2 linked regions of the Mus musculus genome follow. The protein of the gene in region 1 interacts with the protein of each later gene in a biochemical or structural test. Links are inferred from orthologs where the notes say so. Each region holds a gene or a part of one and is shown on either strand. Other genes may lie near its edges.

Region 1 (6,083 bases):
ACAGATTTTTCTTTTCCACAAGGTCGGTCTTAGATAGAATGGTTGCAGTCTGTCAAACGGTTATTTGTTTTTGTTGTTTTAATTTAAATTTGATTTGTATCCTAAATAGTGTTATCAAAGGGATTTTTAAGAATAATTGTCACACTGTATGACTGCCAAGGACCACTTTGTTATTGTTAACCTGTTTGGATTATATCACATGGAAGAGGGCTCTGTTTCACAACATGTTCTTCCACATTAAAATGGATTTTTAACAAACTAAAAACTTGGATATTTGTATTTGTGGTATAGAAATCATACAAATCATGTGTATAAAATTCTTAACAAATTAAGAACCATATTCTTCCACATTAAAATGGATTTTTAAACTAAAACTTGGATACTTGTATTTGTATTTGTGGTATAGAAATCATACAAATCATGTGTATAAAATTCTTAACAAATTAAGAACCATCTTTAGTTCCTGCATCATACCTAGGAGGAGAGATGGTAGGTTAAGGGATTGGACTAGAGTTCCCTAGCTGGCATAAGAGATGAGGTCACTACTCCTGAACAGCTTATGAAGCCTTCACATGGATGGTGACAGTTTTCAATCCACAGACTGACTAGTAACAATGCCCACCCAGGACTCTTGTGTTGGGATCAGTACCGACTACAGTCTCTTCCTCCACCCCAACATGATTCTTCCTTTTCTCTGTTGTCTTCTGCCAACTCTGTTGTGGTTTTGGTTGCCTTCATTCTGCCCTGCTTCATAGTTTTAACATAATGTGTCAAAGAGAGATTAAGTGTGAAGTGGGAGAAGATGTGAATAACTTAATCCAGCCAGGTGGACACGTCCAAGGCTGAGGATGTTCAAAGGAAGAAAAGCATCTATTATCTATAAATATCACAGGACTTTGAAAGTTTAGGAATACAAAGGAAATAAGCATTCAATCATAGACATAACTTTTGTAAACACTGCCACATTTCTATGTTTTCCCTGCCATTTTCCTGAAATTGGAATGAGGCCAAACATCACATCTTATAGCCATGCTTTTCACCTACAATATTCACTTCTGGTCAGGATTTTTCTTTTCAGATGGTGTGTATTATCTTTGGGTCTTTGGCCACCTCTGTTCAGATCTTTCTCTGCTGGACACTTCCCTCCCCGGCCATCATCGCTTGTAGAAATGTCTGGCGTTTTTATCACCAAGCTCAACTATCTGCCCATTAGTTAACTACCTTTAGAACTTCCACAACCTTCATGCCTTGCCCCACTTTTCTTTTTTTAAAGATTTATTTATTTATTATATGTAAGTACTGTCTTCAGACACACCAGAAGAGGGAGTCAGATCTCATTACGGATGGTTGTGAGCCACCATGTGCTTGCTGGGATTTGAACTCTGGACCTTCGGAAGAGCAGTCGGGTGCTCTTACCCACTGAGCCATCTCACCAGCCCGCCACTTTTCTTTTTATCTGAGAACCGACTCTAGCTTTTGATCCAGCTTTATCCAGATACTAGAAAAGATGTAGTTAAAAAGACGATCTCTAACCAACTTCATGGTCAGCAGCACTGAGGACTCGGTAGAAACCCATTCCTGTTGGCCCCATCTCAGACCTGAAGATTTTGAAAGTAAAATCCAACCACCTACATGGTCAAAACCTTTCAGTAATTCTAACCCAGTGGTGGCTCAAAAATCACTTTGTGAAACCCATGTGTGGTAGCATCCACCAATTATTTTTGCCCTTGAGAGGTTGAGGCACAGGGATCTTGAGCTGGGAGGCAGCCCGGCCTACACAGAAAGAAGCGCTTGTGTAATTCCTGTCCCCTCCCCTCACATTCCAAGTGCTTTCTCAACCGGTTGGTCTACTCCCAGAAAATGGCGCGCTCCTCGGCATTCACTAACCCCAACCTTACTCGTGATAGAACCTGGGGCCATGCCTACGTTAAACAAGCAAGCATTCTACCTCTGGACTACATTCACATGTTTTTATATTTGCTTTTGAAACAGGGTCTCATTATGTCCACGTGGGTCTGTAGTTCAGGCCCGGAATTTACAATCCTGCCTCGGCCTCTCCAGAGGCTGAGATTATAGGACTAGGCCATAACAGTCAGACAAACACACTTTCTGAACCCCGGAACTTGAGGGTGAAAAATGAAGGCCTGACCAGGCGGGGATTGGGTCGGAGGCCCCTGCAAGTTACTAGGTCAGAGATGAAGGAGGTCTGGCGTGGAATCGGTCATAGTTGGGAGGCCGCAGGCAAACCAGCCTAGATAAAGGCGTGGCCAGCTGCTCCGACAAGATCAGTTCCTCCCTCCTGGTCCCTGGAAGAGACAGTGGGAGGCCCCACATGCAGAGGGATCCTGGGTCATGGCTAGGGTGCACACAGGGAAAAGCAGAGAAGAGCAGGGCCCAATCAGAGAGACCTCCAGGTAGTGGGCCCCTCCTCCCACAGACCAGGATTCCAAGGGGCCTGCTGGGGTCCATTTTAGTAGTCACCCCTAAGAGCTCTCTTAGGCCGTTACCAGAGAGCTCCACTTTCTCCTTTTCTTCCACATTATACTTCAATGGTATGAGCCTACTTCCTTAGCAAATGAGAAAAACAATACAGATTTTCTTTCTCCTGAAGAAGAACTAACTAGGAGTTAGGAGATAAAAGCTTTGAGGATAGCTAGGTCCACCACTTACTTGAATGTTTGTGAAGCGAAGGATCCCAAGTCTTGGTATGACGGCCACACAATTCACTCACTTTTTTCTGGGGTGGTGTGTGTGTGTGTGTGTGTGTGTGTGTGTGTGTGTGTGTGTGTTTAAGAGAGAGGCGGGAGGTGAAGGGGGAGGGGAAAGTGAGGGAGAGAGAGAGGGAGGAGGAAGAGGGAGGGAGGGGGGAGGGAGGGGGGAGGGGAGGGGGAGCGAGGGAGGGGGGAGGGGAGGGGGAGCGAGGGAGGGGGGAGCGAGGGAGGGGGGCAGGGGAGCTCCATCACGCACGTGCTTGCCTTCCTGAGCCATCTTGAGGGAAGACGCCCAGAACTTCCAGAATTCAAATTCTTTCCCGTGTTTGAAAGATACTGACTTCTAAGCTAAGGACAAGTGAGATGGATAAACCAGGCTCTTTACAGGCCTCCATTCTTCTGCAGAAAGGTCCCCACATGACTCCAACCTAGACCTCTAGACATCCAAGATACACAGAAAATACACAGGACGGGAGAGGAAGGGTATTGGATCAAGAGCTGGGCTTCAGGTCCTAGGTTCGAAGTTACCGCAGAGATTAACAGGTTGTGGGAAGCGGAGGAATGAAATAATTTGAAAGAATTAAGAATCCAGGGCTAGATTCAGCAGAATGAGCCGCTAAGCGTTATGGCTTTCCTGACGGAGTCTTTTGGGGTAGTTCCAAGATGGCTGAATCTGGAGTGGAAGCAGAGCTAGAGAAGCATGGGACAGGGGTGTAGCCCACTTGGTAGGGTGCTTGCCTAACAGGCCCCAAAGCCATCGCATGGCGCAGACCAGTCCCGCAGACCAGTCCCGTAAACTCACGCCTGCAATCCCAGTGCTCAGGGCCACCGAAGCTCCAATCCATCCCAACGTCAATGCTTTTTCCCTCCAGCTTGGACTACCAAAGATCTGGTCTCAAAATGGTGGGCGCCAAGGGAAAGGAAGGCAAAAAAAGGGCGGGAAGGAAAGCCCAGACCAGGGCGGACCGGCTTGAGATTTACGCTCACTGGTTCCAGGATATTATCCCCCCTACCTCAACTAATCCTGGAAGCCTCTGCCCTTCCCTCACCAGTGTCCCCCTTCTCCCCGAGACCTATCTCCAAGGTGGACCACCTACCTCAGCACTTTGAGTAGAGCCCCGAGTTTCCTCAGAGGTAGCAGGCGAGCGGACAAGGATGTCTTCTGCCTTCTAGAACCCAAAGAGCAGGTGATCTTCCGGGCAGGCTCTTTAGTCTGGTCTTGGGCATCACGTCACGGTGGGAGGAGCCGACCTTTCCACACGCCACAGCACCCACCCGCCCACCCCCAGGCTCTGACGCCCCTCCCAGCCTGCCTTTACCCCCGCCCGGCTGGCGCCTGGCCTGGCTGGCTGGCCACCGACTGCTTCCGGATACTTTTGAACACGACGACGTGGAGCAGAACGGCTCCAGAAGTTCTCCTCTCTCCATTTTGCGTACACCCACACTTTTTGAAAGACCAGTGGGTCACCCGCAGACAGATAATAAGACTGAGCTCACTTAGGGTTACTACTGCTGCGACAAAACTCCATGAACCCCCCCCCCTCCGCGCGCGCGCGCGCCCAAAAATAAAAATAAATAAAAAACAAGTTGGTGAGGACAGGATTTATTTGGTTTACAAGACCAAAATACTGTTTGTCCATCAAAGGAAGTCAGGACAAGAACTCAAACAGGGCAGGAGCAGAAGCAGAGGCCATGGAGAGAAGAAGTACTACGTAGTAGCGACTTGCTCGCTCAGCCTTCCACCCGCAAGTAGGCTGGGCCCGCCCCCATGGACCACTAACTGAGAAAATGCCTGTCTTGAAAAACCAAAAAAAAATGAAAAGAAAAGAAGGAGAAAGAGAAAGGAAAACGCCTTATAGCTGGATTTCAGGGCTACATTTCCTCAACGGATGCTCCTTCTTCTGTGATCATTCTAGCATGTGTTAGAAGTTGGCACACATTGTCCCAGCCAATACAACATTCTTCTAGGTAAAGGCTGGGACAGCCTCTTATCCTTAGATTGTTGGATCTCACCAAATTTGATACTGTTGTTCAGTCATACTCGTGCCTATCTTTTTAGATTTAATTTTGCTGTCTATGCTATGTAGTTCTTAAAAAAATAATTTTTATTATTATTTATTCTTTTTCCAGACAGAGTGCGCATGTGCCACAGCAGGCACGTGGCGGTCAGAGGACAATGTGCTGAAGTTGGTTCTTTCCTTTATCACGCGGGGCCTGACTTGGCAGAAAGTGCTTTTATCTGCTGAAGCATCTCCCTGGTTCGTTCCCCCCTTTCTTGAAATGTAGTCACCTGACTTCCACAACACGGACATTCTTCTGTTTCCTTCCCTACCTCTCCCTGCTGATTGTTTGCCCAAGCCTCACACATGACCAGTGTGGCATTTGGGAAAGAATCTAAAGAAGGAGTGAGTAATTTTAGTTGAGAAATTTTATAAGAAAAAAAGAATGTTTGGCTCACATGATTGATAATGGACACAAGAAAGATAAGGAAAGAAAACATCTGGTTGAAGATTATTAAGCTAGTCCGTCAGCCGGGCAGGTAACCCTGGCTTCCCAGAAGGAGCTGTAAATTACATCACACAAAAAAACACTCTGTCCCGGACCGGACCGAGTTTGAGCCCATTTTCTTTCTGATTCGTATAGATGTCAGTTTCCTTTAGGATTCTACCCGAAGTCATTCCCCATTATTAGTGAGATGTCCCAGGATCCTCCAAGCCAGGCGCATATGCACCCTTCAAGTTATACCTTGTTTGTTTAGTTTTCTAATCTTTAAGGTTTTGGGGGATTGTTTATTTGTTTGTTTGTTTGTTTGTTTGTTTTAAGGTTTATTTTGTAGCTCTTGTTGTTCTAGAACTCACTATGTAGACCAAGCTGGCCTTGAACTCACAGACATCGGCCTGCCCTACCTCCTGAGCACCCAGATTAAAGGCTGTGACACTGTATTCACTTTGTATTTTCAGCGGCTTCTTAAACACCACATCCAAGCTCAGCCTCCTCTAAGCAGGATTAATCTCCCTCCCACTTCATGACTCTTCCTGTCTTCTCCCACTCAGTTGGTGATACTACTATCTGAAGATTTGAGGCGGAATGAAAGGACATGGGAACGTGGGGGAGAGAGTAGGAAAAGAACTCTTTCCCTTGGAATTTAGTTGAAGACTCCTGAGAGCAGAGAAACTCCTGGCCAAGGGAACAGAATTGCAGTTGGCCTGGTTTCAGTTCATCCTAGGACCACCCCTACAAGATAGCTCACCCTAAACCATGAAAAGAGGTCAGGGGAGTAATAATAATAATAATAATAATAATAATAATAATAATAATAATAAGTCCTTTAATAAGAAACTTACACTTTCCTTCCCAGCATTCCCTACAGCC
Region 2 (6,149 bases), on another chromosome or scaffold:
ATTAGCACTGGAAGTAAAATGAACCATGATGCTGAAGTACCAAGTTCCAACATAAGGAAGGACTCCACCACCAGCCAGCCTTTCCCCTCCCTGCTGTGCAGAGGCGCTGCCCTTCCTTTCAGACATGCTAGTGGAATGACCTACAACCAAACCACCTGTACTCAGCAGACCGAGAAGAGAAGTAATTCTTCGTGTATTATCACTAATTCTGAAACAATCTGGACTGAATCACTAGAAATTGGAAATAAAAGCACCCAACCCAACAACAAAACACCCAAATCAAAATGGTCTGGCTAGTCAAGAAAAAAATAAAAAGGACAAACGAAAGAAAAAGCACAGTCCAGTGGCTGACAGCACAGGCCGCTCCGGCAAAGGACCCTAGTTCATTTGCCAGCACTTGCCCACTTGGTAGTTCACAACTGAAGTCTGTAACTCCCGCTCCAGAGGGAGCCAAATACCTCCAGCCTCCGCAGGCACCTGTTCTCACACATCCCTACACACATCCAGATAATTAAAATAGTACAACTAAACCTTAAAAAAAAAAAAGGAAAAGAAAAAGTCCAAGATGGCATATAAAATGTTATTGCTAGGCCTCACTGAACTTTGGGGTAAATTTTATTCAAATTCTCCATCAACAAAAATTATATTATATATTATAATATAATAAAAATTATATTAGCTGGGCATGGTGGTGTATGCCATTAATCCTAGGAGTAAGAAGATCTCTGTGAGTCCAGGGCAGCCTGGTCTACATAACAGAGTTCCAGGACAGCCAGAGCTACAGAGAAACCCTGACCGGGGTCATTTCAAAGTATGTTCTTGGGGCTGGAGAGATGGTTTGGTGGTTAAGAGCATTTGCTGCTCTTCCAGAGGACCTGGGTTCAATTCCCAACATCCATGGCAGCTTACAACTACCTGGAGCTCCAGTTCTAGGAGCTCTTTTTTTTTTTTTTAAGATTTATTTATTATTATATGTAAGTACACTGTAGCTGTCTTCAGACACACCAGAAGAGGGAGTCAGATCTTGTTACGGATGGTTGTAAGCCACCATGTGGTTGCTGGGATTTGAACTCTGGACCTTCGGAAGAGCAGTCGGGTGCTCTTACCCACTGAAAGAAATTAACCAAAAAAAAGATACAAATTATTTTCTTAACCATCAGTCCTCAAAGTTTCTCCACATGGATGTTATAAGTGCTGCTGGAAAGGAATTTATACTAAAAACTAAATAGGTATTCAAACCGGGCTTTTTAAAAATTAGATTTATTTTACTGTATGTGTGAAAGTTTTGCCTGTATATTGATCTCATACACGCCCTCGGAGGTCAAGGGAGGTTGTCCAGTCACCTGGGACTGGAGTCATAAGCGGTTGTGAGGCTTGAAACAAGGTGCTTGGAACCCAGTCCTCTACAAGAGCAATGAGTACTCTGACCAGCTGAACAATCCCTGCAGCCCCACGTGTCAGGTTCTCAGAAAAACGCATGCCACACCCTAGCCATAACTCTCGGCCTCTGGAAGGGTGATGAGCCATGAAGATTACTTTACCTAGTAAGCACTGACACGTGCTCTTTTCTAAGCTGGACAAAGAGTACTTGCTGAAATCACTACAACTCCTCAAACTCAGTCCTACTATCTTTGGCAGGAAAAGGGAGTGGGACAGACGAAGGACTGAACTCAGGGCTTCCCGGCAGTAACCACACCCCACTGAGCTATAGCTTAGTCCCAGGCCCCAACGCTTTATTCAAAGAATAAGCTCCCTGGGGCCAAGTATGTTTGGAGTTACTAGATTCTTACAGAGGACACATATATCCTGTGATTAACAACCCACACTAAAAACATTAATATTTTCTAGCAAACAGAAATTTAGTATCACACTACATGAGGCATATAAAAAAACTAAATAACCTAAGGATAGATTAGGACAGATTGGCCATCAACCAAGTTACCAACATATTTACATTTGGGTTTTGTTGGTTTTGAGATAGGTTCTTGCTATTTAGCTCAGGCTGGCCTGGAATTTATTATATAACCCAGGTTTGCCTTAAGCTCAAGATGAGCCTCCTGCCTCAGCCTCCAGGATGCCAGAACTACAGGTGTGTATCACTATACCCAGCAAGAACTTACATTTTCTTCTTCTTTTTGAGTCAGGACACCCCAGCATATCAGCCATGTGTACCTCAAACTATAGAGATCCACCTCCCAAGTGCTGGAATTAAAGGCTTGTACCATAACATCCAGGAAGAATTTACATTCTCCACTTTTACATTTGGAAACTGCTAAAAGGAGACTAGATCATTCCAACAAACCAGTAGGTCTGTCTCTTGTATTTGGTATGCCTGGATATAAATACTACCTGTCGAGCTGATGAGATGGCTCAGCAGGTTAAGAGCACTGACTGCTCTACCGAGGGTTCTGAGTTCAAATCCCAGCAACCACATGGTGGCTCACAAACACCTGTGCCCTCTTCTGGTGCGTCTAAACTCAGCTACAATGTACTCATGTATAATAATAAATAAATCTTTGGGCCTGAGTGAGCAGAGGTCCTAAAAATTCAATTCCCAACAACCACATGAAGGCTCACAACCATCTGTACAGCTACAGTGTACTCACATACATAAAATACATAAATTAATCTTTTAAAAAAATACTACCTGTCAACTCTGGTCATTGCAAGAGACATTAATGTAAATATTTAACTTGGAAAGCTTCCATGAAGAGTGATCTCTGCAGAAATATGAATACCAACCGTCTATCCATCCAAATATTTCATTCAAAAATCTGACCACAAGTAAATAGAGGCACAGAATGTCACTAAAAGGCAAACTTTAGGGTCATCTCAGCCAAAGACCCTGACACCCGTCCATGACCTATCAATTCTGCCTGGCTTAACCCTGAAAATCAGCTCTTTACTTATTTCCCACGTTAACGGCTTTCTTACAGTGTATACAATTTCAAGCAGAGACTGTATGAACTATGGTTCTTTGTGTTCTTCTCTCAACAGCGATAACCCTTTAAGCCAGTGATCACGCATACTTTTCGAATTCCTAGCAACTAGCACGTAACACTGCTCTTTGCATTTTACGACTGAACATATGGGGCAAATGTCATACAGTTCAACAAACATTTACTGACCAGGAAATGTCAAACTGAACAAATAGGTGGAAGACGGTGACTGAGACGCAACAGGCCTGCGAGCTATCCCTTGGGGGTGGGCGCTGGCTTTCTAACCACCCATCCTCGGCTTTGTTGTAATCCCCCCACCAGGAAAGGAAAGTGGTCTTCCCAACTCGCCTTTACAACACCTATCGCCATCTCTATCCGGAAGGGCGGGGCGTTGGTCGCCCCAATCCAGGCCTTGCTAAGCCGCACCCGCCACAAGAACAGACTGCAAAGCTGGGCCAATAAAGAGAAGGGAGAGCATTCGCCACAGCCAGTCGGAGAGCACCGGGGCCAGACCGAGACACCGCCCACGCACGCGGGGAGGTGACCGTTGGGCCCAAACAGGCGGCGTCACCATCCAATCAATACGCTTCTAGACATTTCCGCGACCAATTAACAAGAACGCCTCCGATCCGGGCAAGCAGAGGGCGGGAATAGTTACAGGCATAGGCCGAGGCCAGGGTCGGGCCCACATTTTTCTGTCTGGTACCGAGAGGAGACAGAGTAGCTAGGCTAGGTTCGGGGGACCAGAAAGTTGGAACCCAAGCACGACGAGGCGTGGCCAACCGCGTCACGTTACTCAATCGACTCCCCTTAGAAACCCGCCATCCCTTCTCTGCCATTTCTCACCTTCCTTCGCGGCATTGCCGGCGGCTGCAGCCCGACGGTTCCGATTCGGGCGGCGGCAGCACCAGCAGGAACGGGGGCTCCGGCGGGCTCCGTGGCGGCCTCTGTAGCTGTCCCAAACCCTGCGGACGATCCCAAGTGCCTCCTACCTCTCAGCGTCTAGAGCCTTCTGCGCAAGCGCCGCGGGCTGGAAGCGCCTATTCCTTAACTTCCGGCTGAGGCTTGCGTCACCTGACCTTTAGGCCAGTGAGGATCATGGGAAGCTCGAAACTCTTAGTGAGGCCAGTCAGCGCCATTTTGGAATTGGGCAGGAGACGGCACCAGTGGTGAAACCTTCGGCTAGACCTTTTTAGTTAGGTAGGCGGCATTCGTGTGGGATTAGGTAGCCATGATTGTTTGGGGCAGAAGTCTGGCAGTTGAAGGTAACCGTTTTCATCTTTACATTGGGCAAACTCTTCCTTCCTCGTCGTTTTAATTTGTGGCGTGGAGGGAGGAAAACCCCAGAATCCATCAGGTTGTCGATCTTTAACTCTTTCATTTCCTAGTCGGCCGAAGGACGTTTCCGTTCATTCTGTAAACTCCGAACTGGCAAGAGATATTTTGCCCAAGGAACTGCTGTAAGAGCTATTCCGTGTTCCGGAGTGGTGTGAATGGGGCTTGAATAAAGGATTGACAGGGTCGTTGTCGGTCTTGAAGTGGGGTAGAGTGTTCTCTTTATGCCTTGTCCTTGCGTTAAGAGAACAAGAAGTAAGTTATGAGATGATGCAGAGCCATTCTCAGGATGCCGGAGCGCCAAAGAATTTCCAGTTTATCTCTGTTGTGAAACGCCCCCGGCTTATCAGTGCTCTGCTTTGGTTTGAGATCTTTGGGTGGCCCGGAGAGGGGCGGAGGACGTGGTTTGAATGTGAGGGTGCTGTACCAAAAGTCGGAGAAGTGTTGAACCTCATTCAGCCCGTGTGACCTCTGTAGCACAAATGCAAGAGCCAAGAACTGAGTGGAGAGAGAAATAGTATTTTGAAAGACACTAGAAAGGGAGTGGGTATTCAAGTAATAATAAAAGGCCATAAGAAGAAGAAATTAAGACTAGAAGAAAGAGCTATACGAAAAGTCTGGAACCAGGTGGGGGGGTGGGGGTGGGGGTGCATGCTTTTTGAAGCAGGCAGATCCAAATCATGAGCTTACGGCCAGCCTGGTCTACATGGCCAGTTCCAGGCTAGATCCTGTCTCGAAAAAGAAAAGTCTGGAAAGTGGTTTGTAGGCCTTGAAGTTTTAGCCTCAGAGGACTTGAAAGAACCAAGGTGAACCAAGAGTGACTTGCTGGAATCAAAGCAACCTCAGTAATTACCAAGATAGAATTCTGGTTCCAGATTTGTGTGTGTGTGTGTGTGTGAGCTGAGCACGCACTCATGACCAGGTGAGTGCTCAGAGGACAACTTTGGGGAATAGATTCCTAACTTCCACCTTTGTGGTGTCTCTGGGATCAAACTCGGGTCATCCAGCTTGCTGAAAGAGCAAGTGCTTTTATCCCCTGAACCCCCACAGGCCCCTATCAGAATTTCCATTTGAGGCTGGCTAACCTGGAGAGAGGCTTTAAGAACAGAATACAAACCTGATTGACATGCTAAACAGAGGACTCTTCGGAGTTAAAAAAATTCCAGACCCTTAGCCCACATTCCCTGGGGCTGGGGGTGGGGAATAGCTTAAGCCATTGTTGACGCCATTAGCATTCGGTATTTTGCTTTTAGTACTTAGTATAAATACCTTTTAACAATCTTTGTGAGTTGATTTGCACATAAAAACTTGCTTGAAAAGGGCTCAGATATTTTCCTTTGTATTATTTTAGCTCTCTCGTGTTTAATCCATTCTATCACTGTTCTTTTCACGTAAGGATATGTTCCTGGGGCTACTCTGGAATGTTCTAACTCCCTAACTAGTGCTAACAGCCTCTTATATTTGAATAATATCCTTTTAAGTTGGCTTGTGGTGACACACATCTGTACTCCCAGTCCTTGAATCAAAAGCTTGATTCAGTTTAAGGTTTTCAGCTACATGGTTCTAGGTCAGCCTAGACCGGATTCATCTTCCAACCCCCTGTAATTTCTTTTCTGTCTTCAGAAAGACTTTCCTGATTTACTGTTTGTAAGGTAATAAAACATGGTGACATTATTTTTCAGAAACTACTGCATATTTTCAAACGTTGGTAGATATGTCCCCCCTCCATTTCCCAGCCAATAGGAACACAGTCCCTACTCCTCATTATCAGCTTCACTAGAATTGAGTACAAGGCTTTGATGTCAGATGCAGATCAGCTCTGTCTTTTTTTTTTTCTCTCTGTGTTGCTCTTGGATGGGTTTTTTTTTTTTAAGA

The links.
Region 2: the proteins of Jade1 (region 1) and Kat7 form a complex in vitro, tested with the Homo sapiens proteins (2 studies listed by BioGRID). The link is inferred for Mus musculus from reciprocal best matches to the Homo sapiens genes JADE1 and KAT7.

Annotation. Positions count from the first base shown.
Region 1 is NC_000069.6:41,553,545-41,559,627, reverse strand, and holds the start of Jade1 (protein Jade-1), read right to left. Parts: upstream 3,895-6,083; 5' UTR 3,809-3,894; intron 1-3,808.
Region 2 is NC_000077.6:95,306,250-95,312,398, forward strand, and holds the start of Kat7 (histone acetyltransferase KAT7), read right to left. Parts: upstream 3,998-6,149; 5' UTR 3,801-3,997; coding exon 3,786-3,800; intron 3,450-3,785; exon of another isoform or gene 3,309-3,449; coding exon of another isoform or gene 3,288-3,308; exon of another isoform or gene 3,129-3,287; intron 1-3,128. UniProt on the Homo sapiens protein: Catalytic subunit of histone acetyltransferase HBO1 complexes, which specifically mediate acetylation of histone H3 at 'Lys-14' (H3K14ac), thereby regulating various processes, such as gene transcription, protein ubiquitination, immune regulation, stem cell pluripotent and self-renewal maintenance and embryonic development.